Linked DNA regions of Mus musculus: regions 1, 2 and 3 are each reported to be linked to region 4. Evidence: microRNA targets listed by miRTarBase, many of them from high-throughput screens and not tested one by one. Region 4 holds a microRNA gene; each other region holds the end of a gene's coding sequence.
The links. The annotated mature microRNA mmu-miR-34b-5p reads AGGCAGUGUAAUUAGCUGAUUGU and lies in region 4 at 3,300-3,322, shown strand. An mRNA with a match to its seed (bases 2 to 7 or 8) in the 3' UTR can be bound and repressed. Matches are read on the target gene's strand: a 7mer-m8 pairs with bases 2 to 8, a 7mer-A1 pairs with bases 2 to 7 and ends in A, and an 8mer does both.

Region 1: miRTarBase lists Znrf1 as a target of mmu-miR-34b-5p. The part of its 3' UTR that is shown has no 7-base or 8-base seed match.
Region 2: miRTarBase lists BC055324 as a target of mmu-miR-34b-5p. The part of its 3' UTR that is shown has no 7-base or 8-base seed match.
Region 3: miRTarBase lists Rgs17 as a target of mmu-miR-34b-5p. Seed matches in the 3' UTR shown: 7mer-m8 at 1,591-1,597, 7mer-m8 at 4,358-4,364 and 7mer-m8 at 5,865-5,871.

Annotation. Positions count from the first base shown.
Region 1 is chr8:111,621,226-111,628,346 of GRCm38, reverse strand. Znrf1 (zinc and ring finger 1) reads right to left here. Exons shown (of 4, transcript NM_133206.4): 4 at 2,627-6,751. The coding sequence ends at 6,694. Ldhd (lactate dehydrogenase D) reads left to right here. Exons shown (of 11, transcript NM_027570.4): 7 at 1-37; 8 at 121-248; 9 at 769-859; 10 at 958-1,069; 11 at 1,157-2,736. The coding sequence ends at 1,322. Among named protein-coding and RNA genes, the nearest start is that of Ldhd, 5.6 kb to the left of the region's middle.
Region 2 is chr1:163,948,422-163,955,542 of GRCm38, reverse strand. BC055324 (cDNA sequence BC055324) reads left to right here. Exons shown (of 24, transcript NM_201364.2): 23 at 87-206; 24 at 1,204-1,537. The coding sequence ends at 1,398. Scyl3 (SCY1-like 3 (S. cerevisiae)) reads right to left here. Exons shown (of 14, transcript NM_028776.5): 11 at 6,230-6,401; 12 at 4,817-4,975; 13 at 2,927-3,606; 14 at 417-2,161. The coding sequence ends at 2,105. Among named protein-coding and RNA genes, the nearest start is that of Scyl3, 22 kb to the right of the region's middle.
Region 3 is chr10:5,826,790-5,833,910 of GRCm38, reverse strand. Rgs17 (regulator of G-protein signaling 17) reads left to right here. Exons shown (of 5, transcript NM_019958.4): 5 at 770-7,121. The coding sequence ends at 958. Among named protein-coding and RNA genes, the nearest start is that of Mtrf1l, 6.4 kb to the right of the region's middle.
Region 4 is chr9:51,099,811-51,106,931 of GRCm38, reverse strand. Mir34b (microRNA 34b) reads left to right here and starts at 3,287; the gene lies at 3,287-3,370. Hoatz (HOATZ cilia and flagella associated protein) reads left to right here and starts at 4,854. Exons shown (of 6, transcript NM_177702.4): 1 at 4,854-5,187; 2 at 5,840-5,878; 3 at 6,862-6,932. The coding sequence starts at 4,962. Mir34c (microRNA 34c) reads left to right here and starts at 3,822; the gene lies at 3,822-3,898. It also overlaps a transcript of Btg4 not described here.

The sequences.
Region 1 (7,121 bases), not on the chromosome of region 4:
TCCCAGCAGACACTGGCGGAACAGCTGCAGCGCACAGGTGCGCCGGGGACACGGCGCTGTGAGGTCTGAGGCTGTCCCAGTGTAGGGGTCTAACCATCAGCCTTTCTGTGCCTACTACAGAGGCAATCACTCAGGATAATGGTGGCTCTCACTTCTCCTGGGCCAAGGAGGCCGAAAAGCGCAATGAACTTTGGGCAGCGCGGCACAATGCTTGGTATGCAGCCTTGGCCCTGAGTCCAGGAAGTAAGGTGAGCTGAAGCTGGGGCTGGAGGTGGGATCTACCCACTCACATAGAGAAGACTGAGGCCCACCAAGGGCTGGCTGAGTGGGTGTGAGGACAAGGGGCTATAGACCACTGCACCCAGCTATTCCAGAGTCTAGAGAGAAAGAACTGTTAATTTGCTCCAAACTTAGGAGTTCACAAGTCAGCCTCAGGTATAGTGTTGAGCACTTAGGAATTCTAAACATTGGAAGGGCCTCCTGGGGAAGAAATGGAGAGGAAGGAGGCAGTCTAGCTAGATGGGACGGCTGGGCAGATTATGCAGAAGTTCAGAAGGGTGGGGCTGCTGGGACCCTGCATGGGGTCCAGGCTTAGATCCAGGGGAGTAGTGAAGACCTGGGCTAGCGAAGAAGACCAGTGGGTCAGATGTGTCACTCCGCGACATCAAGACCCCTTGGATTGGTCCTAGGCTTGACCACAGTGATCCCTTAACTTTGGGTAGGCAGTGGGTGATGGGGGGAATCACACAGGCTTGCCTTCCGATTCAGGCCTATTCCACGGACGTGTGTGTACCCATCTCCCGGCTGCCAGAGATCTTGGTAGAGACCAAGGAGGAGATTAAAGCTTCAAAACTCACAGGTTTTGTTCTACTTCACTGCCGTCTGGGAGGCGCTGGGGTTAGCCAAGGCCTGGGCAAGGAGACTAGAGGCGACACTTACTGTTCTCTGGGCCCCTAGGAGCCATCGTTGGGCATGTGGGTGATGGCAACTTTCACTGCATCCTCCTGGTCGACCCAGATGATGCAGAGGAGCAGAGGAGGGTCAAGGCCTTTGCAGAAAATCTGGGCAGGTGAGGACTGTACCGGGGAGGGTTGGGGGCTGGGGAGGGCGGAGGCTGAGGGAGGAGTGCTGGGGGTTCCTTCAATTGGCTTCCTAGGCGGGCCCTGGCACTCGGTGGGACATGCACTGGAGAACATGGCATCGGACTGGGCAAGCGACAGCTGCTCCAAGAGGAAGTGGGCCCCGTGGGCGTGGAGACCATGCGGCAGCTCAAAAACACACTGGATCCCCGTGGTCTCATGAACCCAGGCAAAGTGCTATGAGGAATGTGTAACCCTTGGCTGGCAATCTCCAGAACACAAAGCCCGCCCCTGTTCTGGTCTTTTCCTTCATGCCAACGATCGAGCACGAAATGGAAGGGCTGATGCTATCTATCTATCTATCTATCTATCTATCTATCTATCTATGCCTGCCAGGTAGCCTCTGTAGCTGGGGCTCAAGATGAAGGTGAGGGAGCTGGACTCTCTCACAGAAAGCTGCTACCCTTGTTCTTAGGAGCCTTTTACTCCGGTAGAAAACCCAGGGTGTTTCCCAGTGGGGTGTCTTCCTGGCTGGCAGAGGTGGTGTGGATCTACTCCAAGCTAAGATCAGATCCCAGATCCGTCTGTGGGGGCCTCTCCTCTGCTGGTGCCCTGCATCATGACTCACCCTGTATATATGATGACAGGAGCGTTCCTTTCCTTGCAGAGGGAGGGAGGACCGTTCCATCCGGCACTGTTGGGCCGGCTCTTTGGTCACGTGAGCCCCGTTTGCAGCTGCATCCTTTCCCCCTCTAGGTCTCTTGACCTTGGGCTAAAAAGCATTTGTTTTGGGCCCATCCCCAGACTAACTGTAGCCTGGGGAGGGGATGGAGTTCAAGTTTTGGAAGAAAGTCAGTCCCAGCCCCTCTGCTTTTGCATACCTGAGGCAGGAGACCTGCCAGTGGTGGAGGTCACCTGACAGCTTCCCCACCAGGAAACTGAAGCACCTTCTTCAAGCTGTTATGGTGGACAATAGAAATACAGATGAACTAACCTACTGTGTCCCATCCCTATCCATGGTATAAAGCTCTATCCACCAGCGCTTACTTTCAAAGTCAGGGTCTTGCCTACTTTGGGGCCTGGCAGTTTTGAGACTCCCTGGTCAGAGCCCTGGTCTGGAGGTACTTGCAGTTGTTCCCCAGAAGTCCACGAGAGGGCGCGCAACACCAGAAACCTAGCAGACACTTTTAGGGTGGCCAGTCTCTAGGCATTTTACCCTTGTGGGTCCCAGTCAACTGTAGTACCATCTTCTCTACTGCTAGGTACTTGGGTTGGAAAAAAAAAAGGAAGAAGCAGCCTCCTGCCCCCCACCCTGACACTTTCTTAGTCCAACTTCAGGTCTGTCTCATGATTCTTTGGCTTGCTCCCAAACTACTTCAGGATGAAGAAACCCAAACACCAGTCCCGAATTCACCATTGAGAAATATCGCCAGTGAACCCCCCTCACCCCCAGACAGTCTGTTCACCTCAAGTCCTCCCAAGTTGAGTTCCACTGGGCAGGGCTCCTACATACACCCTCCAATAATGGGAAACTCAATACACAGCCATTTCCCCACAATTTCTTTTATTAAAGAAAATCCCAAACATACAGAAAAAGTTGAAAGAACAAATACACTATATTCACTGAAATATCAGTCGTTGAAGATTCAACAATGGACATTTTTGCCTTATTTGCTTTGTATATTTTGGGGGAGGGGAGACCATATGGGATTAGATTATACATTTCTTGAAATCATTCAACTATATATTTCAGCCACTGTCTCCTAAGGAGGACATTCTCCTATGAGTTTCAATACTATTAAATGGCTTAGATGGGTGGTTTTCAAAAGGGGCTCCTGGAGCTCTCAGAAGGCTTTCTGGGCTCCTCAGAGCTAAGGGGAAGAACCCATCCCTTGGCTCTTCCGGATTTTCTTCCTTCTCAGAAAGGCAGAGTAGGAACGAACAACACAGGATTCTGGAGGGCTGTCTGGATAAAAGGTGACACACACAAGTGCCACCTTGGGAAGCCCAGACAAGCCCAGTCCCACCCACCCCTCACACCAGGCACTGGCAATCTGGGTCCAAATTCAGAGGACATGACAGCCAACAGAGGGCTTTGGTGTGCCAGGTGGGGGCGGAAGTCACTGGGGATGGGATGAGCACCAGCCTAGAGAGCCTAGAATAGCACCCGGTGTGGGGCTCAGCGCCGCCCCAACCAACTCAACCACGGGACTCAGCCACAGCACTGCCAGGGCAGCCGAGCTCACACAGCCAAGGTGGGCACACAAAGCCTGTCTCCAGGCCCGGGGGTCAGACAAGGAGATCTCTTTGCGGGCTGGGCCCTGGCCCGCCAGCTCTGCTGGTAGGATTATATATAGAACGGGGAGACACAGGTGCCAGGCAGAAGCTGGAGGTGCTGGGAATAGAACAGTGCCCTTTGCAGTGACATAGCTACAAGGAAGCCTGCTGCGCATGTGCCAGGCCTTTGGGGCAGATCCCCGACACAAACTGAACCGAGCCGCATGACCCTGTCCCCACTTCACATGCAAGGGATCGAGTTCACGGTTCCACCAAGAAGTAAAGTGCCCCAGTACAGACAAGAGCCCAGTTTCTGGCCATTGACAGTGCTTACAGTTCAGGTCCTGAGGCGTCTGACACTCAGGCTCTAAATAAAGCACTCTTAGTTCTCTGAACTTGCCTCCCTGCCTTGGTGCCCACATGCCCACTGGCCTCCAACACATGTCCTTGCACAGAGCAATTGCTTCAGGACGCATCTGAGGGCAAGGGTGGTAGCATAGTCCAAACTTGTGGGCCTGCTGGGACTGGGCCCTGACACAGCAGTACAAGGGGCAGGTCTGGAAATGGTCATGGTAGAGAGGTGGTGCCATCTCCCTCCAGAGCTTCCCTTAGCTGGCTCTGCAGGAGGCCCTGAAATGCAGCTCCTGGAGCCTGGCTAGAAGACAGGCAGGTATGCACTGCTGCTCTGCCCCGAGGTTTCCTGCCCAGCCTGCAATTTGCTAACTTGTATGAGGCTGAGTGGCTGGTTCTGGTTCAAGGACTGTGAGCTGGAAGAAGCCCAGAGCAGGGCCTTTTCCGGGGCCTCAGAGAAGCATGCCCATGAGTCAGCACTTGGCTCTGCACGGAGCAACAGGCAAGCAGAGGGTAGGGAGGGGGGCAGAGGCTCTGAAAAGCAAACGGACTGGGCTGGCATCTCCAGGTGCCTGTATCCTCTGGTGGCTGTAAGAGCTTTGCCCCTGAATATCATTCCAGTAGCATCCTATCACAACCAGAGATGACAGAAGACTGACAATCACTCCATGATGCTTAAGAATTTATAAACTTCAAAGACACAGCCGAGCCACTATGTAGAGCCTCTGCCCAGGAGTGGCTAAGCCATTACAGGTGCTGAGGGAGGGGGTGTGGGCTGAGAGGTGGACAGAGGGAACTGGCATTTGCCTTCCACCTTGATTGTGTAACAACACTTCATTAAAATAAATCACACGGTGCATCTTTTGTTACACACTATTTTAATACCATATCAAAACACCTTGACTGATAAGCTTTTCTCCTAAGCTTTGAACAGTTTTAAAACATTTTTGTAATTTTTTTTTTTTGGATTTTAATATATAAATACAGAAACCTATCCTGCATGGGCTGATGTCATGTGTGAATGGCTAAAATATTTCCGTGCGCCTGAAAATGGGGGTTGCAGCACACAGTCCTTTAGCTAAGTCTAAATTTCCTCAGGGGGAAAAAAAAATCACAGGGGCCTTGGAAAAATGTCCAGGCATTTTTTTTTTCAGTGTATTTGTGATTATTAAATCCTCTGATGGGATCAGATCCAGGAGGAAAGGCAGGGGAGACTCGGGGCTGGGGGAGGGCAAGTGTCCACGATGGGCTCTTCATCTTCCTCTTTTTTGGCAAGGAAATCAAGGAAATTTAAGGGGAGAAAAGTGCAAAACCAAGCCAGAAAAATGGGACAGAAGAACAAGAAAACAAAAAAAAAACGAATCCCCAAAGGTAGAAAGGTTAGTGATGCAGAGAGCCAACTGGGGCGCTGGGCAGAGGGACTAACGTGTGCCCGCCTGCCCACCTGCCATCAGAGCGCTAGGGTCAGGACATGGCTATGCTTGCTTCTGTCATGAGTGGTTTTTAGCTGGGCAGCAAACAGCAGGCTGTAAACATCACAAGGGAAAACACCAGTCGACACAAGACTTTTTTATAGAATTTTTTGTTGTTTGTAAACACTTTTTAAAGACAGACCCACAACGCCTTTCAAAGGTGAAAAAGAAAATGCCCTTTCCCTCCTGGGTCGAGGGTGAGGGGAAGGATAGAGGTCAATTCATTCTTCTCTCATCCACTGGGTGTCCTCAGGGAGGACCATTTTCTGGAAGTCAGTGCAGAAGGGTGCCCTGTTCTCTCTGGTGTCCCAAGCTCAGCTCTGTCCAGTGTCCGAGGAGCCTCCTCCCAGGAACAGGGGCTGGCTGTCCCTGTGTGGGTCGGAAGAAGTCAGTCCCGCTTCATCTTGCTGAGAGTTGCCGCTCCATCGCACGGTGGCAGCAGCTTGTGTCCCCCTGAGACCAGGCTGGTTGGCTGGGGCATCTGGTTCAGTCCAGGCAGGCCCATTGGAAGCCAAACATCATGCCGGCGGCGGCATTCTGGACCTGCACTCTGGAGCTGGGATCCAGTCCCTCTGCCTCACTCTCCCTCGCTTGGCATCAGGTTTTGAGGTGAGGGTAGAAAGAGCCAATGTCCCTGATTTGCCTGACACCAGCAGCTGTTCTGGGCATTTACTTGGAATAAATAAAATAAACCTAACAAAAGAAAAAACAACAAAGAAGAGAGAGAAGAAAAGGGATCCCCAAGCCTTTGGATGTGGGATCAAGTGGGAAGGGGCTGATGGTTTTCAGTTGGATGGGACAAAAACAAACTAAACAAAACAAAAGAGAGAGAACACCCAACACAGTCCTCAAAGGCACAGGCAGGGTGGGGGCGGGATAGGGGCAGTTAAACAAGGTACCCTGGGGAAGAAATGAAGGTCAGATCCAATGGTTACACAGCACCAGAAGTGCGTGTGTGGGAGGGAGTAGCCTGCTGCTGTGACACTGTGCCTGGGACACAAGGACTGAGTGTGGCCTGGACCTCTCAGGCCGGTGGAAGAACCAGGAGTGGAAAGACCTCAGGCCATGTCTTTGCAGTGGACAATGTCTGTTCCACAGGCCACTACTTAGTGATTCTTCCCTTTCAGAACCGAGTCTCTGAGAGGTGAGGGAGGTGAGGCTGCTGTAGAGCCTGGCTGGGGGCGCCTCTGCTCCAGCCCATGCACCCTGCAGGGGACCTTCTGCCTCTCCTGAGGGGAAGGAGCCTGGTTCTATCTTTGCATGGAGTTCTCATGACTAGGTTACTATCGCTCTTTCATGCTCCCCCAACTCCCAGGAACATCCCCCTACTTCCTGGGGACTGCTCTCTGAGGAGATGGCTTCTGTCTTTCTGCTTCTGCTTTCTCCTTGGTGGGGTGTGTATCAGGCAGGCCAGCTCCTCTCCCCCAGCTCCCAGAAACTTGACTCTTAGCCCAGAGTCTCCCGCCAAGTATGGGCTCACCTTTGAGAGGAGTCGGCAAGCAGGCCCAGCAGGGTCAGTCAGCAGGGTGCTCTGGACAAGATCTGTTCACTTCAAACCATGAGTCTATGCAGCTGGAGTGGGGCATCAAGGGGAAACACATTAGCTGCTAACAACACTGTTCCTGCCAAGGGAGCCTTTCAAGGGGTTCTCAGGAAAGGCTTTCTAAATCTCTCCTGAAACGACCCCAGGGAAACATGATTATGCCCCCAATTCATTGAAGCAGAAAAAGGAAGATGATCAACAACGATATCCTAAGGGTGGGAGGGCAGACGGGAGCTTGAGTCAGTGGTTTGAGAGAGATGCTGCTTCCCAGAGGACCCAAGTCTGGTTCACACCACCTGTCTGCTGCTTCACAGCCATCCCATAAATCCAGAGATCTCACCCCTCTGGCCTTTGTAGGCTCCTGCATTCTGATGCACATATACATAGATGCACACACAT
Region 2 (7,121 bases), not on the chromosome of region 4:
AACTAGTCAGTGTTTTCATCTTCTAGATTTCATATCACTTGCTATCTAGTAGAGAATGTAATGTGTTCTTTGGTGCTCTTTGGCAGACAGAATCTGTAGATGAAGCTGAGGTTGCCACAGTGGACAATGTGAAGCAGGAGAAAGGCACTTTCTGGGAACCTGCTGCTAAGGTGACTGTAGAAGAAGTGAAGACGTCAGCGTTTCAGGTATGGGCTGCTTTTAAGCATGTACTGGTCAAACAAGGGAATCTGCCCTCATTACTGATGAACTAGTTTGATTCTTGTCCTCATGTTGAATTTCAAGTAAAATGTAGACAGGTAAAATTCTTACTTTATGGTAGTTGTACATCAAAAACCAAAACCAAAAACCATACACTTTCCCTGAAATGTTACCAACACAGACAAGAACACAAGAAATAATTGTAACCATTGTACCAAATATACTCTTTATTATTGGTAATTGCATATTGTACCAATGATGACATAAATGCATTTTCTGACACTTAGATGTCAGTTTGTTCAATTCATCTCATCAATAATAATCACTTTTCTCAAATATCACATGTACCTATTAATTGGCAGAAATTTGACACGACTACATACATTCAAAATTGTGTTTTGAACACAGGTGATAGAATAGGGTCCTAAGGAAAACAATGTTCTAGGTTTATAGTGCAATAGTAACTTGTTTTCTTGGATGTAGCTGTAGGCCTGAATATATATAAAGTTCAATTTAAGTCAGTTGTGTTCGAAAGCCCTATGAATTTAAACTGTGACTTCCCTTTGAAAAACTAGTTGTTAAGATATGTTTTAGTTTCACCTCAGTTCCTCTTCCCCTTCTATGCAAGATGTCTGGAGCCTTAGTTTTCCTTAATTGGCTCCAAAAGTATGTTGAAAGGTATTATGGCTCTCAGCATTTACAAACTTATTAGGAAATTCATGTTTTATTTCCTTAATGATGTTTTTAAAGACTACTCGTGGATAGTTGTTGGACAAGACAGCATTTATCATTGGGAACCGTTGCACAGTGCGACTTCTTGTCTGCCACATACAAGTTAGGACGTGGAGAGTAGTAGCACATTTAGGTTATTGTTAATACAAATGGGAAGGCTGCCTTCTTCGTGATCCTATGACTAGTTTCTCTTATATTATTTTTAGAATGAGTATTATGTATTACTTGTTTCATGATTTCCTTATTTTCCAGCCTCACACAAAGAGAGCCCGTCGGGTGTTGCCCTTTGAAGAAGAATACAGATCAGTATTTAAAGCTGCAGCAAGGGCTTTGGAGACAACTGAGTTTTTACTCAAACACTCTCTTGCTCCAGCATGGCTGCTGCCAGAACTGGAGGCGCTGCAAGGAAGGATCGAGAAGCTAAAACGCTGTGTGCTTACAGGGTAAAATATGAATGGCCTGTGTATCGACAGAACTGGGCTGACTCTTCAGATGCCTGCCTGGGTGTTTTGTAAATGAAATTGTGAATGTAAATTATGTTTGTATATTTTCATAGCACATAAAAGAGCTTTTGTAAATGTGAAAATAATCTTTATTTGACATAAAGAACAAGATGGGAGATGAGGGTGGGTATTTCTCATTGAGAGCTTTGGTCCAGTGTAATACAGGTGAAACAGTAACTGCCCAGGTCCGAAGGAGAGGGACAGACTGTAAACAGACAAACTGCCTAAGGAGCCTTAGCAGTCTGAAGTTATAATTTACAGCTAGGTTTGTTTGTTTTCTTTTTCCACTAAGTTATTTCATAATAGAATTTACTCTTTTAAAGAAATGGCACAAAATTAAGCTTACCAGCTTGAATTTTTTATTTCTTCCAGAATTGTCCTGGAAAAAAGCACTTCTTTAGCTGTTTGCTTTGTATGGAAACTGGCCTCAGTCAAGTGCACACAGCACTTTCTCCTGGACTCTGGCACCGAAGCCTTTTGCCACCAGGACTTAGTCAGCAACCTGAGGTTGGTCTCTGCTTGACTTGGCACAGACTGCAAAAAAGAGCTCCTGGTGTGGGGAACACAAGCTGCTTTGGGGTTTTGCATCCATGCAGCTTGCTTTGAGGTATTAATTCTTTGAGAATTCTTCCTGAAGCTTTTCATTATCGTCACCAGTTGTTATCTTCCCAGGCTAGCTCTTCTCCTTCCCAGCCTTCTGCCTCTCCCTGCAACAGAACACACTGACACTAGCTGTCTGCGGCAAATTGTGTACACATCTGAAAAGCCAAGCATTTAAAAATGACCCAGAGAGAATGCCTTATGATAAGAAACGATAAAGCTGTTACCAAAAGTTAAAAGCAAGATTAGTTCTGATGTTAAAAACCACACCCATTGGAAAGTAAGTGTGCAACACAGTGACATCTTTCCCCACATCGAGGAGTTACTCATTTAGCAGGTGGACCCAGATGTGGCCAAGGACAGTTATACACAAGGCACAAAACAGAAGATATAAAATGGGTTTGTATTTTTAAAAAACATTGATGTGCATGCATATATCTATGCCCCACTGTGTCTGGTGCCTGTACAGGTCGGAGGGATTGAATCTCCTGGAACTCGAGTTAACAGATCATTTCATGTGACGCATCCTGAGAAAGCCAGCAATCAAACCCAGGCCTCCAGAATAGCCCGTATTGTTAACCATAGAGCCATCTTGGTAGTTTGATTTCTTTAAAATTCTGAACCATGAACACTGTAGATGATAGCATTGTGTCATGTTAACAGGTTGGGCATGTCTGAAGGACTAGTTCCTTTTTGTAGCACTCTGAAATAATTTTCTAGGAACTGGTTGTATTATTTCTGGGTTTACTTTGAACATTTTTAGTCAGCTGTGCACTCTGTTCTTTCGTTGATAAAAATGCTTGTTTATTGCTAGCTAGGACTTCTGAGAGAAACCCTGACAGTAGCACGCTTATTACAAAGAAAGAACTCACCTCGGTCATTTCTGTTGCAGCAAACTTTGAGGAAAACTGCATCAGTGATGAGACGTTATCCTTGTCAGGGACCATCACTTCTGTCCTTAGTTCAGGCAGAATAAGAAAAGTACCTGAAGGCTTAATTTCTGGGATCATATCTGCAAACCAGTCCAACTCCGGGTCTTGTACTGGCTTCTTTTTTACTTGAATGGTAAACTCTTCTCCCAAACCAAGTCCTGACGGAGCCTTCAGGGGTCTTTCTTGTGACACTTGGGGTGGTTTGACTTCCTCATGCTGTCTATGACTGGTCTTTGAGGAAGGACTGGATTGCAAAGGCTTTGACTCTTCAGTGAGAGGAACCAAAGCTGCAGAGGTTGACTGTCCCCCTGAGGTAACAGGCACAGGAGCAGAGGCTGTAGCTGTTGAGTTTATTTCAGTGCCAAAGCTAGCCTCACCATCATCCCAGGTCACCTCCTCTGCGGTCAGGTTTGTGTGCTGGGACTCTGCTACATCACAGGGTTCTCGGGGCCATCTGTGAATACTGGCAGGCTGCTGCTCAGGCTCCTCAGGCTCGCTCCAGTCAGGCCACTCCTCGGGCTTATTAGAACCTGCAGGGAAGCTTCCATTGTCCTCTGAAGTGTTTTTCACATCTGAGAGTCCATTCATAGGGAATTTAATGGTGTGAGAAAACTGATCACCTATGGGTATATGCGAGAATTAGTCTCATGAAATCTTAAAGCAAGCAATAAGTAGGTCTAATTGGAAATATCCATGAACACTAGCAAAAGTTAGGCAGTAGAACATAAAGATGCCAAATAGGGGCTGGTGAGATGGCTCAGCAGGTAAGAGCACCCGACTGCTCTTCCGAAGGTCCGGAGTTCAAATCCCAGCAACCACATGGTGGCTCACAACCATCCATAATGAGATCTGACGCCCTCTTCTGGAGTGTCTGAAGACAGCTACAGTGTACTTACATATAATAAGTAATAAATAAATCTTTTAAAAAAAAAGATGCCAAATAAATTCTCCAAATCCACATGGCACTTAACTCAAAGGCATACCATGTCATAATTAACTGATCTTTTTAGATCATTGACTAAATGTCCAAATACCTGTTGGCATAAGTCTTTCAAATACAGATAAATACAGAATCAGTCTTATCCTTTGGTAGTAATTACACCTAGAAATGTGTGCTCAAGTAAGTTTTTTGTTTGTTTGTTTTTTATTTATTTACTGGGGTTGGCAAGGAGGGGATCTGGGTGCATACATGCCAGATAGTGTATAGGTAAAGGACAGAGTGCAGTTGGTTCTACTTTTTCATTGAACTTGGGTTGCTAGCCTTTCGCCACAAGAGCTTTTACCTCCTGAGCCATCTGTCCAGCCCATTTCACTGTTCCGAGACTCATCTTTAACTGTGTGTGTACACGTGCATGTGGGTGAAGTGCCCACAGACGTCAGAGGACAGGATGCCCTAGAGCTGGAGTTAGTTAGAGGCCAGTGCTGGGGACCAAACTTGTGTCCCCTGCAAGAGTAATTTGTTCTTTTAACGAACTGCTGAACCATCAATCTGTCTGGCCCACAAATAAGTTTAAAACAGATTTTCTCAAATGTCATCAGGTATTGAGGGATCTAGGTTTACTCCAGTTTCCTATCCTAGTGAACATTTTTGGCTACGTGTCTTTATTAACATCTTATAGAACTCTTCACTTTTGGTATATTATGATGCAGAAGGTATCAGAATACCAAAGCATCTGATACAAAAATGAATTCAAGTACTGTTAATGTACAATGTGGGAGGATTAGATGCATAACAACTGTTTGGAGAGGTCAGACAAGACAGCTAGTCCAAAGTGTACTTACCATTCTCAGGAACAGCTCAGAGCAGTAGGACACAGCTGAGGTTCTTACCTGTCTGTGAGAGAGAGCTGTAACATTCTTCCTGTATGCGCTTCCTGCTGCTGCTGGGCACGTTGCCAGACAACCATTTAGGGAATACGTTAGACGAGGGGTCCTCCAAGACTTTTGAGACCCGACTCTGCTGGCTGCAGACAACATGCATGGGAGAACCTGAAGGGAGAGGGGTGTGCTTACACCTTGGACATGATTGGTGAGCAACAGTCAGGGGAAATGGTGCATGTAGCACAGATAAAAGAACATCATTAAATATTTGGTGAAAAAAACATTATTAAATGGGTTTCCTGTCTCCTGAGGTTAAAGACAGGTTCTGTTGCCACTTGGTGATGGGACAGAACTATGAGGCAATGCATAGATAAAATTTCAGTCCTTAAAATTGTTCTGGTAGCAATGTAAGACCATGATTCTAATTTCCTTTTAAGAATAAAAGGCTAGTAAGAGTACAAGCCCAAAATAATGACTTAGCACCACAGAACTATACACTGAAAATAACTTTTCTGTTGTGGTATTTGACAGTGAGTGAGGAAAGCAGGCTTAACAATTACCAGGAAACTTACACTTAAGATTAGATGTCAGTCAGAAAGATTTCTAATTACAGCTGAATATTTCCCCTACTTTAAAGCTAGGCTAAGGGGAGTGAAGTGTCACTCTAAGGCTTCAGCTCTCTAGAGCACCTGTCTCTCTCCTTCACCCTCAGCGCTCAGTGTCTAGCACTCCAATCCAAGGAACTGCATTAGAGACCCAGGATTTTGTAAAGAAATCATGGTCCTATTCAAGGTCATACAAAGTAGCAAAAAGGCTAATTTTGTTAATACAAAACAAACCAAAGAACGATTTCCTGAAGTACTCAAAAATATCTTTTATCCAAGTAGTCTAACAAAGTAACTTAAGCATCTAGTGTTAAAAAAACAAGTCTTTAGTCCCTACTAAAATTCAAATATATCCTCTAACCTACAAAGTCTGCTTCTGAGACTGCTATGGGAGTGGGACCACACATATAAAGATGCATGTGTAAGTATTCTAACAATACTAGTACATACTGACTAAAATCCAGCAGCAGAAACAGCAGCCATCACTAACTCACTGAATTGGATTCAGTGAAATATGAGGCAGGTAGAAAAGTGAGGTAGCGTTTATGCAATGACGTGGGAACACATCTTTAATATATAGTACATGAAAATAATAAATTTGTACATAGCATCATTAAAATAATCGTATGTAAACAGTTATCTGTCTCATGGGTTTGCAAAAAAGGATTCTCACTTAAGCCATTAAAGGTTACTCTGTACCCACTATGAGTTTGAAAAGAGAAATTCAACTTTTTCTCATGCTTTCTGTCTATTAACTTCAACATGAACCTGTATTCTATAATACTAAAAAACCTAATAAAATAATTTTTAGTCTTACCTTCAGGGGAAAGGTCACTAGTTTTGGTGAAGCTTGGAGCGGTGCGCTTAAAGATCTTGGTTCGTTCTCCTCCCACAACCACTTCTGGTCCAAGTAAAGACACCAGCACTGCCAGGCTACGGAGAGTAATTGCCACAATGGAATTGCTGGTATCACGAAGGCCCAGTAGTACCTAGGAGCAAAATTGGGGATAAGGGTAGACAACCATTATCTTTGTATCCTGGAAAGGACCAACTGGCCTGCAGTCATAAAGCTTGTTCAAATGAACGACATTTAATTTCTAAGGTTGGTGGCTCTCTAACCTTCTAAAGGAAGAAAACAATATCCATCCCTCCCAGTCCAGCTTGGATTGCTACTTAAGAAAACAAAACACCAGGACTGGCAAGCCAGCTCAGTGGCTAAAGGCTCTTGCTTTGAATCCTGACGACCATGAAGATCCCCCCACATGGTGGAAAGAGAACTGCCTCCCATGGGTTGTCCTCCACACATGAGCTGTGGAAGGTATGCATGCACATAAATGAAGGCACATACATACAAATATATGTATTTTTTAAGATAGAGCCCTGATGAAATACAATGGAAACTAAAAACTCCCAACTGCTACAAATGGCAATTTTACATATAAATATTCAAACTTTCTTCATTATGGAACATTAACAGCGTAGGAGCGACACTGCTCTGCAGAGCACACTCAGATCATTCTAGGGACTGACAAGCTATGTTGCTGGTCTAAACTCTATAATTCTTAACTTTATGCATACTCAGATGGGAGGAGCCCACAAGAGCTTTGTATATATTTAACATGCACCCACTGGCTGAGTTAATTATGGTCTCCCACCAGTCATCTAGCTGCATATTCAAAGAGCTATCCAGTTTGCTTAAAATAAGGGAC
Region 3 (7,121 bases), not on the chromosome of region 4:
CAGAGAAGGATACTGGAATGATGGTGTCCCCAGCTGCACTGTGGCTTCTTGATCCACTGGGCCCCAGGCAGGTCACACTTGGGCCAGGTATTAGGGCAGTAGTAGTGGTCTTACCTCTTAGCTTTGGTGTGTCAGCACTCTTGGAGGGCAAGCTTTCTCTTGGTGGGATTGGAGTGCAGAGGACTGTAGAAAAGGGCCCGCTCCTGGGTGCAGATGAAAACCAGAAGCCAAAACATCTTTTTAAAAGGAGAATTCCCAACAAAGAAGAATATATAGTTCAGTTAAAAGATGGATAAGTTTTTCTTAGCTTAAGTTGGTTGGGTCATACTGAGGAAATAAATTGCTGACCTTCATCTCTGGATAAATCTAGCCCTTCTCACTATATGGTTGCTGGAAATTGAACTCAGGACCTCTGGAAGAGCAATTGGTGCTCTTAACTGCTGAGCCATCTCTCCAGCCCCTGATTCTTCTCTGGCACTCTATAATATGTTGAGAAGATCAACATAAAGGAGCGAAGATATCTGTGAACCAAATTTCTAGTTTCTTTCTTTTTCTTTTTTCTCCCCATTGTTTAATTCAGCATTAGACGGGGAAGGGGGAATCAGTAAGCATGATTTAGCCTTTGGAAGGACCATCTCCAGTGTTATGGGTGTGAGTGTCGTGAGTGTGAGATTGAACCTATGAAATCTCTCTGAGATGTCATGATTACTTAACCAATACCTTTTATTTGACAAAACCACATGGGCACATCTGCTTCTGTTCCTTTTAGGTCAGCCTGGATTCTCGAGTTAGAGAGGTGATCAACAGGAGTCTGCTGGACCCCAGCCCACACATGTATGAAGACGCCCAGCTTCAGATCTACACCCTAATGCACAGAGATTCTTTCCCAAGATTCTTGAACTCACAGATCTATAAAGCTTTTGTGGAAAGTACCACCAGCTGTACTTCTGAATCCTAATTTTCAGTTGACAGGCCAAAAAAAAAAAAAAATCCATTTCAGAGGGCTGGGATGGGAAATAAAAGTAATTAAATAACACCAGAAATTGAGTTCCTGAAAAACTACAGGTTGACTGCTGGGGAAATACAATGAGGAAGGTCTCTTGTCTCCATTTTTATCAAGGTTATCCATGATTCTGTTTGGGGCAACAACAACAAAAAAAGCCTATATGAGACAATGAATTGCCAAATTAAGTTTGTTTGATTCAACACTTGCTCTACTTGCAAGCAAATTGTGTTCCTAGTCCTCTGAACAATCCCCTAGTGCATCTCTAGAGGCCGCATGTGCAAAGTAAAACTGCTTCGTCTGCCCTTTACTTGTGCTATTAAATCAGTAGCATACCTTGTATCTGTATTTAAGGACTTTTGTGCAATATGGTCTCTTAGAAACAATTGCCAACAAATTGGCCGTGGTTTGCATTTTTTAAAAGCATAATCCAATACACACAAAGGCTATTTTAAACATGTAACAGTGATATTTAACCATGCTACATACTGTGTTTAGTATACCGTCTCTGAAGCCAATTTTTCTGTACATGTTTAAAAAAAATAGAAGCTGTTAAAGGATCTTACTGTGTGAGCCCTCTGGTTGTTCACTGCCCAAATTCTGGCATTTTTGTTACAGAAGAGTTTACTATATAAGAAAGAAAGAAAGAAAGAAAGAAAGAAAGAAAGAAAGAAAGAAAGAAAAGAAGAGAAAAAAAGGAAAGAAAGGAAAAGAAAGAAAGAAGGAAAGAAGAAAAAGAAAGAGAGAGAAGACAAAACTTTATGATAAGAAAAATTTTAATAAGCACAAAACAATCTGCAGATATCCTGTCTCATTGAAAATTCCAAGAGTGATACTGTTTTTAGGTCTGAAAGAAGAAAAGAGTCTATGTATATATGAAATGTCCAGTACTATAATTGAGTTATTAAAGAATGGCTCCTCAGTTCTAAAAGAGTGATGCAAACCTCTGAATGTCAGCAGGTAAACAATAATAAGTTCGATAATCCAGTTTGGGAATATAAAGGGAAAAGAACTAGTAAAGGAATGCCTACATGTAGCACTGTCAAAAGCATAGTGAGGAATTGCATCTGACTTGTGGCGTATTCACCTTGAACATATAATCCAGTGAAAAGCTTAAGTTTTTCCTAAGTAACACTTTATAAAGAATTACAAAGAAGAAAACCTTCAATGTCAGACCTTAACTGTTTTCACATAGTCTCTCAAGAAAGACTTATTTTAACATTGTTAAAAACAAACTCTTAACCCTCATCCATAATTAAAAGGCAGTACAGTGCTCAAACCTTCTAGCTGCCAATATTATTTTTTTATAATTACATTAACTCTTTACATGAAATACTCCCCTGACCACAGCATGTATTTATGACCTTCTGAACAGTATCGTCTTGTGCACAAAACCAAAATTACAATCAATGTCATATTTATATCAAGGTCTTACCTTTCAATATCAAAATCCCCTGGAGCCTATTTTTTTAATCTTAAACTCAATGAGTATATGTTGAGTAACCTTTAAAAATGAAAGATTTAAAAAGATTTATATCCACTGAGAATACAGGCCTTATATTAAGGATGATATTAAAATTATAGGTTTTATTTGTCATTTTTAACTACCTCTCATATTTTTAATTTATTAAACATATTTTTTTAAAGCACAAGTTTGGAGTTTTCTTTTTAACTTTATTTTACTTGAAAGGTTGGCATCATGTTTCTTTTTCCATAAATTTAAAACATTTCAAGAATTGTTTTTTAAGTGAATATGATTTTCTAATTTATATAGAATTCAGGAGCTATGATTCAAAGGGCTATTACATATTCCCTATGCAAATATTTTAACTGTTGCAGTGTTTGACAAAATGGGATTTTAAAAAAACAATTTGCAGAGTGGAAAAACAAAACGTTGTGTTTACACTGGCGCCGCTGACTATCCTACCATGCTCAGCACTTTTAAATACATTATTTATGACAATGTAGTTTAAATGCAAGATATTTATAATATTCATCTTTTAAAAAATGCCTGTGGATTTTTTTTTTTCCTGAAAGTGTTAGTGTGTTTAAGATACGCTTTGCTTATGTCACCTAGATGTTTACTATTTGAATAGTTTTGGTAATCTGTTGAGAAAAAAAGATAGTTATGAAGATGTTTACAAAAATATAATCCTATTTTTTCCTAAAGAGTCAAGAAAACGTAAAAGCATCATGGCTTCTATTGTGAAGTCCCACCGTTCTGAATGATTTGATTCTTTCCTTGATTAGTGTTGATTATGCTAATAGGATGTATACACATGTATAGTGTACCATCATCCTCGTTCTGTGTTTGGGGCACAATGAGTTGGTGCACATGACCAGGAAAAATGTAATATATTACCACACCCTGCATGCATGATTGTTTTCGATGTAGACTTTATTATATCCCTGTTCCATGGATGCCAGTGACTGACTGTCACAGGCGATCTTTACAATACGCTCTGGACTATTGGGCGAGCTGTCTGTGTGACAATGCATTTAATATTTTACCAAATGGAAGAGATAAGGCTCCTTGAGAGAGTCCTCATCTCTAACCTAGGCATTTGCAGTGTTTGATTTCAAAGTTGCTGTGTCTTTGGAACCTGTGTACAAGGAGGTTCCAAAGCTGATTTGCACAGTCCCTGCCATTAGCCATTGCTATGTGAGCAGTTCTATGCTAAATTCATATTTCAGGGGGATGGCTTCTTAGTTCACTTGAGAATGTTTCAAGTTTTGAAGAGTGTGTCTGTGGACTTGTGACTATGCCAGTCTTTAAAATATGGTGTGGTTTCTTCTGTTTAAGTCACAGAGCTATAATAAACAAACAAAAGCCCACAACTGGTGTCTGCCACCATTTCAAGAGCACAACACTTGATATAGTCAAGTTTGATTTAATTCCTAGTGGGTGAATCGCTCCCTGGGGAGACCCTAGCACTTTAAATGAAGCACCTTATATTTACGATTGCCAAGATAACTTTGCATATTGTCAGAATCTGTTAATGCACACACAAGAGGATAACGCACTTTCTATAGTACCTGTCTATAGGCATATCTATTGTGGAAAGCAAAGGAGATTGTGTAGGTGATGTATACAGCGGTGACTCAAAGGCAGATGTCTTCATAGGTGGATCTTACACATAGACATGCTAATGCTGAAGGGGTGACTCTTCTCTTTCTGACTTATTATGACATCATCCAAAGTTAGCACCGATGCTCTGATGGCATGAAAAGGGCATATGAATGTTAACAAAACAGGATTTTGATACTGAAGTTATAAATGTAAAAGTAAAAATTACAATATGGCCTTTAAAACAGTCTTACAATATTTATATATGACCAGTTCTAACAGTGTGTCACTGCCTAGAACATTTATTAGTGCCCTTCAATGTCTCCTAGTATACAGAATGTGCTATATTTATTTGATAGTTAAGTGTTAAAGGACTATAGAAATAGATAAAGGCTTATCTGTTGAAAACAAATGTACATCTCTTCCCATTATGCTAATTTAAAATACTTGAATCTTAATTTAAGTTCATTCTTTTATTCTAGAATTTTTTTAATAGTCTCAGAAAAATGTCATATTGTAATTGTGGAAACTACACTTGCAACAAATAAAAAACTTCAGGTGCTTTGGTGAAGGTTTTTAAGTGGAAGGAATGAAAATAAAGCATAGAAAAATGAACTTTTTGAAGAACCATCAATTTGTTTTTAAACAGGTAGAAGATACACCTAGAACCCGACATAACATGAATTTTTGAATACTTTCAGCTTTTATATATTGACATATTATTTTGAAACAGGAAATACGGTCAACAGATTGGGTTACCTATCTATTTAGATTGGCAGTTAATGACCAATCTCCAAAGTATCTATTTTTAAGTCTGTTTGAGTACTCTTTTCTGTTCTTAAATTTCTGATGATCATAAAATGCTGTCCCTAGAAAGGAGCATACCATGTGTAATAATCTTAGCAATTCTCCACTTGCCACAATTGCAAATATTTACCACTAAAACCTACCAAACCTTCCTTCAGAACATGTCTGCAAGATTATAATATCGTCTTAACATCTTTGCAGTGCACACAGTGCATGGAGGAGCACTGGCTTTGATTTCTGTGGGTGTTAAAAAATATTTCTTTTACAAATAAAGTCCTAAGCAGCCATAAGGGACATGTTTTCTTTCCCACTGATTGAAGAGACTATACCAGACCATCATTCTGTAGAAAACAGGGAGATGGAGTGTAGCCTTCGTTGGGCAAATGGGGTTGTGGACTCTGATTCTCATGACATAAAGCTCTAAGTTGAGAAAAAGCCATGACCTAAAGTATTCGTGATGATAGCCACATGTACTATTTTAATGTCGTGCATGAAATCTGAAATTCAGTCCCCTCCTCATGTCTTATATCGTATGTCTTCTGTTGCAAAGTTTTCCATTGATTCGTGCCTTTATCACAGCATTTTCAGCTTTTTAAACAGTTAGAAATATGTGAGCTTTAAACCGATGATTAAACAAACTGTCTAAGATTTGGGCACATTTCCTTTTGAAATGACAGCTGATTTCGAGTTGTATTTCTATCCAGAGGTGGTAGGGAAAGTCACGTAACCTTTCTGAATCTGAATCTGTTTCTTTGTCTTAAAATATTGACTATGGGGTGTCCATGGGAACAGTAATGTTGCATATAATAATTGACCGGAGTTCTTCAGCCTAGTAACAATAACATTTTTTGGAAGGTCTGTAGTTGGTGTCATTTCACTGTATTCTCTCCTCGTGTTTCCTTGGAAAGTTTAGGTTAGCACACAAAGAGGGTTCATCATGACATTTTCATACCAGTGTCTCATGATATCTTCTTCTCATTTGTTCCTCACTGCCTTTCCCAGGGCCTTCTACTTTCTTTGCTTATTTTTTTTTAAACATACTTGAAACTTTAAAATGTGCATAGGTATGGACAAACACCATACACACACACACACACACACACACATGCATACAGAGACACATATACACACAGACACAGACATACAGTTATGCCGCCCACAGACACATGCACAAGCACACATACACACAGACACATCGAAACATCCACACACACCACACACACACATACAGAAATACACACTCAAAGATGGAGACATAGGCAATAAAATGACCATCCCTGTGGGTGGGAATACTATAGAATCAAGTTAGTTACCAGTATGCCAAGTATGCCAGTGGGCAACAGAGCTGAAAGCAATGTCATAAATCATGATTCGAAAATAATCCCTTCAATATTAGTGTGACTTTGTCGATTCTATCATGAAACTATGAATAGAAAGATGAATACAAGTGGCTAAGTGTTCATTAACAGTTTCACCAAACTTTTGAATATTTTCAGCTTTATAGCAAAATGATGAGGCAGTAAATGCCCTCATGTGTTCTATGTGTCTGGGAAGCAATTTTCCCAAATAATAACTAAAATTGACCCATCGAGTCTGTGTTCCACTCCATCATCATCCTTCACCTCTTGCCTTCTCTGCCCTTCCCATCCTGTAACCACACGACCTCCTGTTGTTTCCTCTCTTTGTGTTTCTTTCAGCTGTGACTCTCTCTAAATGGTCTTGTTTTTTCAAAACCTTGACAGTTGTGAGTGGAAGTGATGTCTATTTTACAGAGCATCGCTCTGCAGGGTGGGGTTTGTCAAGACTTCTCCTGTTTATATGAGTGGGGATTTTTTTTTTGTTTTTGTTTGTTTGTTTTTAGTTTCTGAAAGGAATAATGTTATTCTGTTCTTTCTATCATAAATATTTGTTTTTATTTTATGTGATTGAGTGCTTTGTCTGCATGTATGTATGTGACCACATGTGTGCAGCACTTGAGGCCAGAAGAGTCCTCTGGAATTGGAGCAACAGATGGTCTTAAGCCTCCATATGGGTTCTGGGTACTGAATCAGGGTCTTCGGTTCTCTTAACTGTTGAGCCACCTGTCCAGCCCCGAATAGCCAACCTTATTACATGATATCTACTTGCCACTAGGGTAAGTACTCTTGCTTTGGGCTCCTCCTTCCTATTGCTGTTGCTGTTCGCCCTGTCACCTGATTTAAGCATTGCCTGTTGGGTACAGCCTCTGCTGCCAAGTGATCCACA
Region 4 (7,121 bases):
AACCACATCTCTGGAGACTGTTGTTCCCTAGAGATGAGAAATAGACAAGAATTGTTTCTGGAGTAAGAGCTCCATCAACCTTAACTAGGAAGCTATTTTTGTTAGATTGTTCCTAAAAAAGTAAATTAACATTTGATACTGAAAGCAAAACTATTGGTTAATTGAGAAATGGAAACAAGAAGCTAATTGAGAACTTTTCCTAATGAGAGTTCATTGAGTTGAAACCAGAGGTATAGAGCTGCTGGCAGTTCATTCTAGCTCAGATGACAACCCACTATGATTAAACAGATTCATTGATTTGTAATTATTCAAGGGCTAAATTGACTTCAACTCAGCCTTGCTTCAACTTATAAACTAGTTCCTAAGCATACTATCGTGAATATTAATATGGTCATCTGACATTTGATAGTCTGCATAAAAAAATGCATGGTTTTATTTCCTAGGAAAGTATGCATTTTTGAAATGTTTTAAAAGAAGTGGCTAAAGATCATTGCTTTCTAATTAGTGTCCTTCATTCTTTCCTCCCTAACAAGAACCTTCAAATGCTGCAGAAATAGCCTGCAACTGGGAGGTTGTATCAAGAAGAACAAGAGCTCAAGGCCAGCCTGAGCTAATTGAGTCCCTATCTAAAAACAAAGAGGACGTGTACAGACGATGTGCTGTGTGTACTGACAGGAGGAAGTCATCTCTCGATGGCCCTTTTACAGGAGTCATAAATTAAGTCAAGATAAATTTGTCAGATTCACGCAGGAAGTTCTTGTTTTTGATACTTTTCATGGTTTCCTTCCGGTCAATACTATCAACCCATCTCCTCAAAGGTCCTACCCCATCTCCCAGATCAACAAAAACCCAGAAATTAAAGCAGTAAACAGCTCCTCCTCAAGGTGCCTTCCTGGATCTATCTAACCAAATGTAATGGTCTGCTTGGGCATTTTAACCACACCACAGGCATTCTTACTTAGATTAAAACATGAGTCTCCCTGGTCTCTAGACATGCCTAGGCATGACCAGCAGATGCAATAAGATCCTTGGAGTTTCTCTAGTAACTGTGGGCAGGATCAACAGCAACCCTAAGAACAGACATTCTTTTCTATTGTTGCTTTCTAACAGAACTAGGGCACACGCATTTTTTTTTCATCATTTTACTTTTTATCATTGAAGAAAAAAATTTAGTCTAAATTTCAAGACAGTTTATGCAATGATAGCTTTGGATGGAAGCAATAAAACTCAGGTAAGATATTTAAGATGCTACTAATAGAGAAAATCCCTAAGCTGGGTGGAAGCATGACACATGGAGTGAAATTGAGCAAAATGCAAAATAAATGATTTTTTAATGATGTCCTCCTAAAACTTGTAACTCTTCATAGTGTTTATGGGATGGAGGCTATTTCTACTACTTTTATTTATATTTGAACGTTTAAATGACCTTTTGTAGGATACATTATACTTTTCTCAAATACAAGAAGACTGAATACAAGATAGTTATTTACAAATGTCTTTCATAAGTTAATTTTATAATAATCTGGCATTTTCTACTTCATTTTCCTTTCACTTAAGCCTTCATAAAACAATGACTCTGAAGGAAAAAAACATTGTCTTTTACTTTCAAAGATAATGTTAAAATATACACAAGTTTATTCTTGGGAAGTTCTTGGGTTTTAATGGTTTCCACTTGGAATTTGTGTTGAATGTTCCTGATGATTGGCATATATTCATGTAATTAGTGGCATCTACAAGACCATTTGCTGGGCTTACAGGTATCAGTGTATAGCTAAGAAATGTCCCTTTGTAGACTGCAAGACTGTTGGATCAATACAAATGGGTGTCATACAGCATACAGGAAGACCACAGTCTGGGACGGCTACTTCCTACTGAATTCCACAAAGTTTGCAATCAGAGAATACTGTATATCCTCTCTGGGCTCAATTAATTAAAGGAAAGGAGAGGAAAGACTAAAGGAAAGAAATATTAGTGAAGATGGCGCAGAAATGCTGTCCCCTCAGCGCCTCCTATTCCCAATATACACAAACACGCACCCCGTTATCAGATATAAAATAGCAAAAACAAGGGGAATGTAACTGACAGAAGATATGGCTTCTCGGGCTTCTACAGACCTCATCCTTAATGTCCAAATCTACCCTTGCTTCAAGGATCTACCTGAACTCTCACCTCCTCCATGATGGTGTCTGTCAGCTCTTGTTGGCACACCTCCCACCCCCACCCATACCTGTTTTTTTCTATTAGGAAAATCTATCAGTTTAGCAACTTTATACTGTCTGGAGTAATAAATAATGTGTTCACATTTTGTTACCACCTAGACTGTCTGATGGGTAGTAAGACAAACGCCTGTTAGGTGCTGGATTTGTAACATTTAAATAAAACAGGAGCCCAAAGTGAGACTAGATATCCTCAAGGCTCACGGGGAGATCATCAAAACTGTGTCTTTGATCTTATAAGGGCCACAACTTTGACCTACCAACAAGGGTGTTGGTTCAATGTTTGACCAGAAGAGTGGCCCACACTTCACTGTATGGCCCTGTAAGAGGTAGTCCTAAGAAAGAACTTGGGTACAGGCAAGGGCAATCCTGCAGGTATGAGTGCCCAGGCCTGCTCAGGCAGGAAGGCTCCAGATGAGACGCCTGGGAAGCGGTTTCTGAGAATGGGCATATGAACAGTGAGGAGGCCTGGGGCTTCTTGGGCAATATATTGGGAAGGAGAGATGGATGTAGGTCTCTGCGCTTCTTTCTTCGATGTAGCAGTAACTACACTGTGAAGATAAACTTCTCAAGAATCTGTCTCTCCATCTCCCCGGCCCCTTCCCAGGAGGCTCTGCAGGAGCCCTCCCATTGCCCCTTCTGGTAGCTTCTGCCACCCCTCCCCCACTCGCCCCGCCCCCTCGGCCTCGGGGTTCCAAGGGCGGTTGGTCGCTGAGCCACGGTCACTCGGCCAGTAGGAGCTGCGGGGCGCGCGGGCTGGACAGAACCGGCTCTAGACTTGGGTCTGGAAGCCGTGAAGAAGTTGTTGGAGGCGGGTCAGACCCGGCTTGCGGGAAGAAGGACTCGGGCCGGATGCCCTGGGGTCCGGGCTGAGTCGGGGGTCTCGGGGGGGACGGCGGGGACAGGGGGCCTCAGCGCCTGGGGGTTCACCTGGGGTCGCGCGCGGCCCTGCTGGGTGTGGAGGGGCCTCGGGAGCCTGAGGCACCTCTCGCTCCGCCGCCCTCGCCTGTCGACCGTGGCGAAAGGGGGCGAGGGGCCCGACCCTCGGGAGCTGCAGTGGCGGGCGCCCGGTGCTCGGTTTGTAGGCAGTGTAATTAGCTGATTGTAGTGCGGTGCTGACAATCACTAACTCCACTGCCATCAAAACAAGGCACAGCATCACCCGCCGCCCGCGGGAGGAGAAGCCAGCGCTGCAGCCCCACTGACTCCGCAGAAAGCCGAGGCCGGAGCCAGGATGCGTCAGCAAAGGGCCGGGAGCACGAGGTCTAAGTGCAAGTAACCCTCGGAGACCGGCGGCCTCCTTTAGGGACCGTTCGGCTACCTGTGTGTAAGAGCCAGAGCAAAAACGGTTCAGTGATGTGTAAAGAGAATCGGTATACACCGGCCTTAACATAAAAAAAAAAAAAAAAAAAAAGGCCAGGAAGAGCCCCCCCCCCCCCCCCCCCAGAACAGTTCCTGCTGCTGCTGTGATTCACTGCCTGATTTCCACTTCTGAGAAAGCTATCACCAAGGCAGCGACTAGAGTCAACCACAGCTTGGCTGACGATTTGCTCTGGTCACACCAAAGTCTGAGAGCACCAGCTAAAGACTGCATGCTTTTTTCTGAGTCTAGTTACTAGGCAGTGTAGTTAGCTGATTGCTAATAGTACCAATCACTAACCACACAGCCAGGTAAAAAGACTGAAATTCCTCCGACTGAGCCTCCTGTGAATCGTCATTTTGGTGAGGACAGAGCCATAGGGAAATATTCTTACCATACTATTAGTGGTTTGGGGGGGGGGGGGGAACCGCTAGCCCTTAGCTGCTAAGTATACAATGTATCAATTTGTGTGGGGTACATTTTTTGTGATTTTTAGATATATTGGAAAAATAGAAATTATCCCTTAGCTGATTTGGTCATTATATTGACTTGTGATTATAAATCTTTGGACTTTGCCTGACATATTAATAACACTCTAAAAAATAAAGCGCCACGAAAATCTCAGCAATCGTGTTCATTTCCTTTCCAAAAACTGGCTTTAGGATCTCCATTTCAGCTCCTGTCAACCCCGTAAAGTCATTAAATGGTTAGTTGCTATACAGACAAAATCTCCAGGGAAACGTCTCACACATGATTGTGACCTGGAAGGGAACGTTAAATGTTTTCATAATTTTCCATGGGGCAAGGGAACTCAGCCCACTTAACCAGGTATATTTTTTAAGGTATTAACAGTTGCGTTCTAGGCAACTTTTCGTGGGAATAATTAGTGAACACGATTTAAAACCAGCTGGTTTCCTAATATCTGTAATAAAAGATTTGAGAGGTTTTAAATCACACAAGCTGTATCCACCGGTACTTCTCGGCCCAGTTCTAGATTAGCGCTTTATGCAGATGTATCAATGCAAACCTGAGAATTTCCCCAGAGGTAAGAGTGCGAAGCCTTGGCAATCTTGTCCAAAAGAGGAAGGCGCTCTTTAAAGCTCACATTATTGGGCTATCTGGGGGAGGAGGAGACGCTGGCTGAGGATCTAAGAGACAGTCCAGGACTGTACACATCACAAAGTTGAGGCTTTTACTCTTAAGGCTTGACTGGCCCCGAAAATTGTGACCTCGACAGAAGCCAGCTGCTGATGGGCCACAAGCCCTCGAGGAACCCCAGATCTACGGAAGAAGAAACACAGGCATTCCGGTGGTGGCAGTTACCAACAGGACGGTTCTCCGGTAGGGGCGGGACGCCAGAGCTAAGGAAAGCGTCCTGAGTCACCATGGAAACGGGGCCCAGAGGCTGTCCTAGCGGCAGGAAGGAATCCCAGGAAATCTGCTCCCCTGGATTACTGGTGTTCACCGGCTGCTCTGAGCAGGATGCCAATTTGGCTAAGCAGTTTTGGCTCGGGGCGTCCATGTACCCCACTACCGAATCTCAGCTCGTGCTGACCCGAGGCAGCAGTCAGAGGCTACCGGTGGCGCGGAACTCTAAAGTCGTTCTGAGAGGTGAGTAGCAAGGCTACCTCCTGGAAGGGGAAACTGCCTGGTCTAATTGTCAGTCAATTGAGAAGTACAAACAAGCAGAAACAGGCAGTAATAGGTATATGCAAATACACAAACAATTCTAAAACTGCTGCAATTCTCCACTGTAAAGGATCTCATTGTTACATATAAATTCATTCTAGAGCTGGAGAAATGGCTCAGCAGTTAAGAGCACTGACTGCTTTCCAGAGGTCCTGAGTTCAATTCCCAGCAACCACATGGTGGCTCACAACCGTCTGTAATGGGACCTGATGCCCTCTTCTGGTGTGTCTGAAGACAGCTACAGTGTACTCACATAAATAAAATGAAAATCTTAAAAAAAAAAAAAAATTCTAAGAGTCCCTTAAATGATGGCTTTTATTTGGCAAAGAGGATGGGTTAATCTAAGGAAATGGTGCTTAGATTAGGAAAGCATTTACATAAAATTGAATTCAAATTTAAAAGCCCAAGAAAAAGTTGTTGGCAGAGTCTAATTTAGGAACCCTGTTTCCTGACTGACAAGCCTTCGGGCCAAGGATGTATAAAGTGTTCTTATTCAATATTAATAGGTATATGAAATTAAAATACTGTTCATGTCAGCTTTTCCAATAACTTTCTCTTCATTTGTATTTCTTAGAGAAAAGTTCTGTCCAGCCCTTTCCCTTTGATCAGGACAGTAAGTATCAAGTTTTAATGCCTTTTTATATGTAGACTCCCCAGATTATCTTAGAATTCCTAGAAGTATACATTTACACTGTGATATAACTAAGCTGCATATCCCACACCTTGCTTCAGGGCTCACATACTCACCCAGAAGATAACTTTCTGACTCTACAGGCACTTTCTCCCCAGCATCCCTGACCCCACAGGCACTTTCTCTCCAGCATCCCTGGTCCCACAGGCACTTTCTCCCCAGCATCCCTGACCCCACAGGCACTTTCTCTCCAGCATCCCTGGTCCCACAGGCACTTTCTCCCCAGCATCCCTGGTCCCACAGGCACTTTCTCTCCAGCATCCCTGACCCCTCAGGGACTTTCTCCCCAGCATCCCTGGTCCCACAGACACTTTCTCCCCAGCATCCCTGACCCCACAGGCACTTTCTCTCCAGCATCCCTGACCCCACAGGCACTTTCTCCCCAGCATCCCTGATCCCACAGGCACTTTTTCTCCAGCATCCCTGGTCCCACAGGCACTTTCTCTCCAGCATCCCTGATCCCACAGGCACTTTCTCTCCAGCATCCCTGGTCCCACAGGCACTTTCTCCCCAGCATCCCTGACCCCACAGGCACTTTCTCTCCAGCATCCCTGAACCCACAGGCACTTTTTCTCCAGCATCCCAGGTCCCACAGGCACTTTCTCTCCAGCATCCCTGACCCCACAGGCACTTTCTCCCCAGCATTCCTGGTCCCACAGGCACTTTCTCTTTAGAGGCTGTTTCTTATCTCCACTTATGATTTACTCATCATGTAAAGGTATGGGAGGGTTCCTGACATCATGAATAATTAATGCAGTCTTCAGTTATTTACCAATCATTATAATGTCAAGACAGTATGTATTTGTGTCCCTTCCTACTCTATTCTCCCATATCCAATTTCATGTCAAAACTGTAAGAATTATGACAAAGTTGTGTCAGATTAAATTTGGTTTTATTTTCTCTAGAGGATGCAATTATCTTTGCTAAAGCCCAAAGGATTCAGGAATCTGAAGAGAGAGCAAAGTATCTCCAAAAGGTGAGCCAGCGCTTCATCTCTCCTGGTTCACCTCTCTGGTTCTCATTACCTTTCTCCATCATTGATAAATACTGTTTGTTGTTGTTGAGGACATTTTATTTTTAAATGCATGTAAATAAAATGTGCTACTTCTGCTACCTAAGCTTTGAAAAGCTTTTTTTGTTAGAATTTTAATTAAGCAGTTAGAAA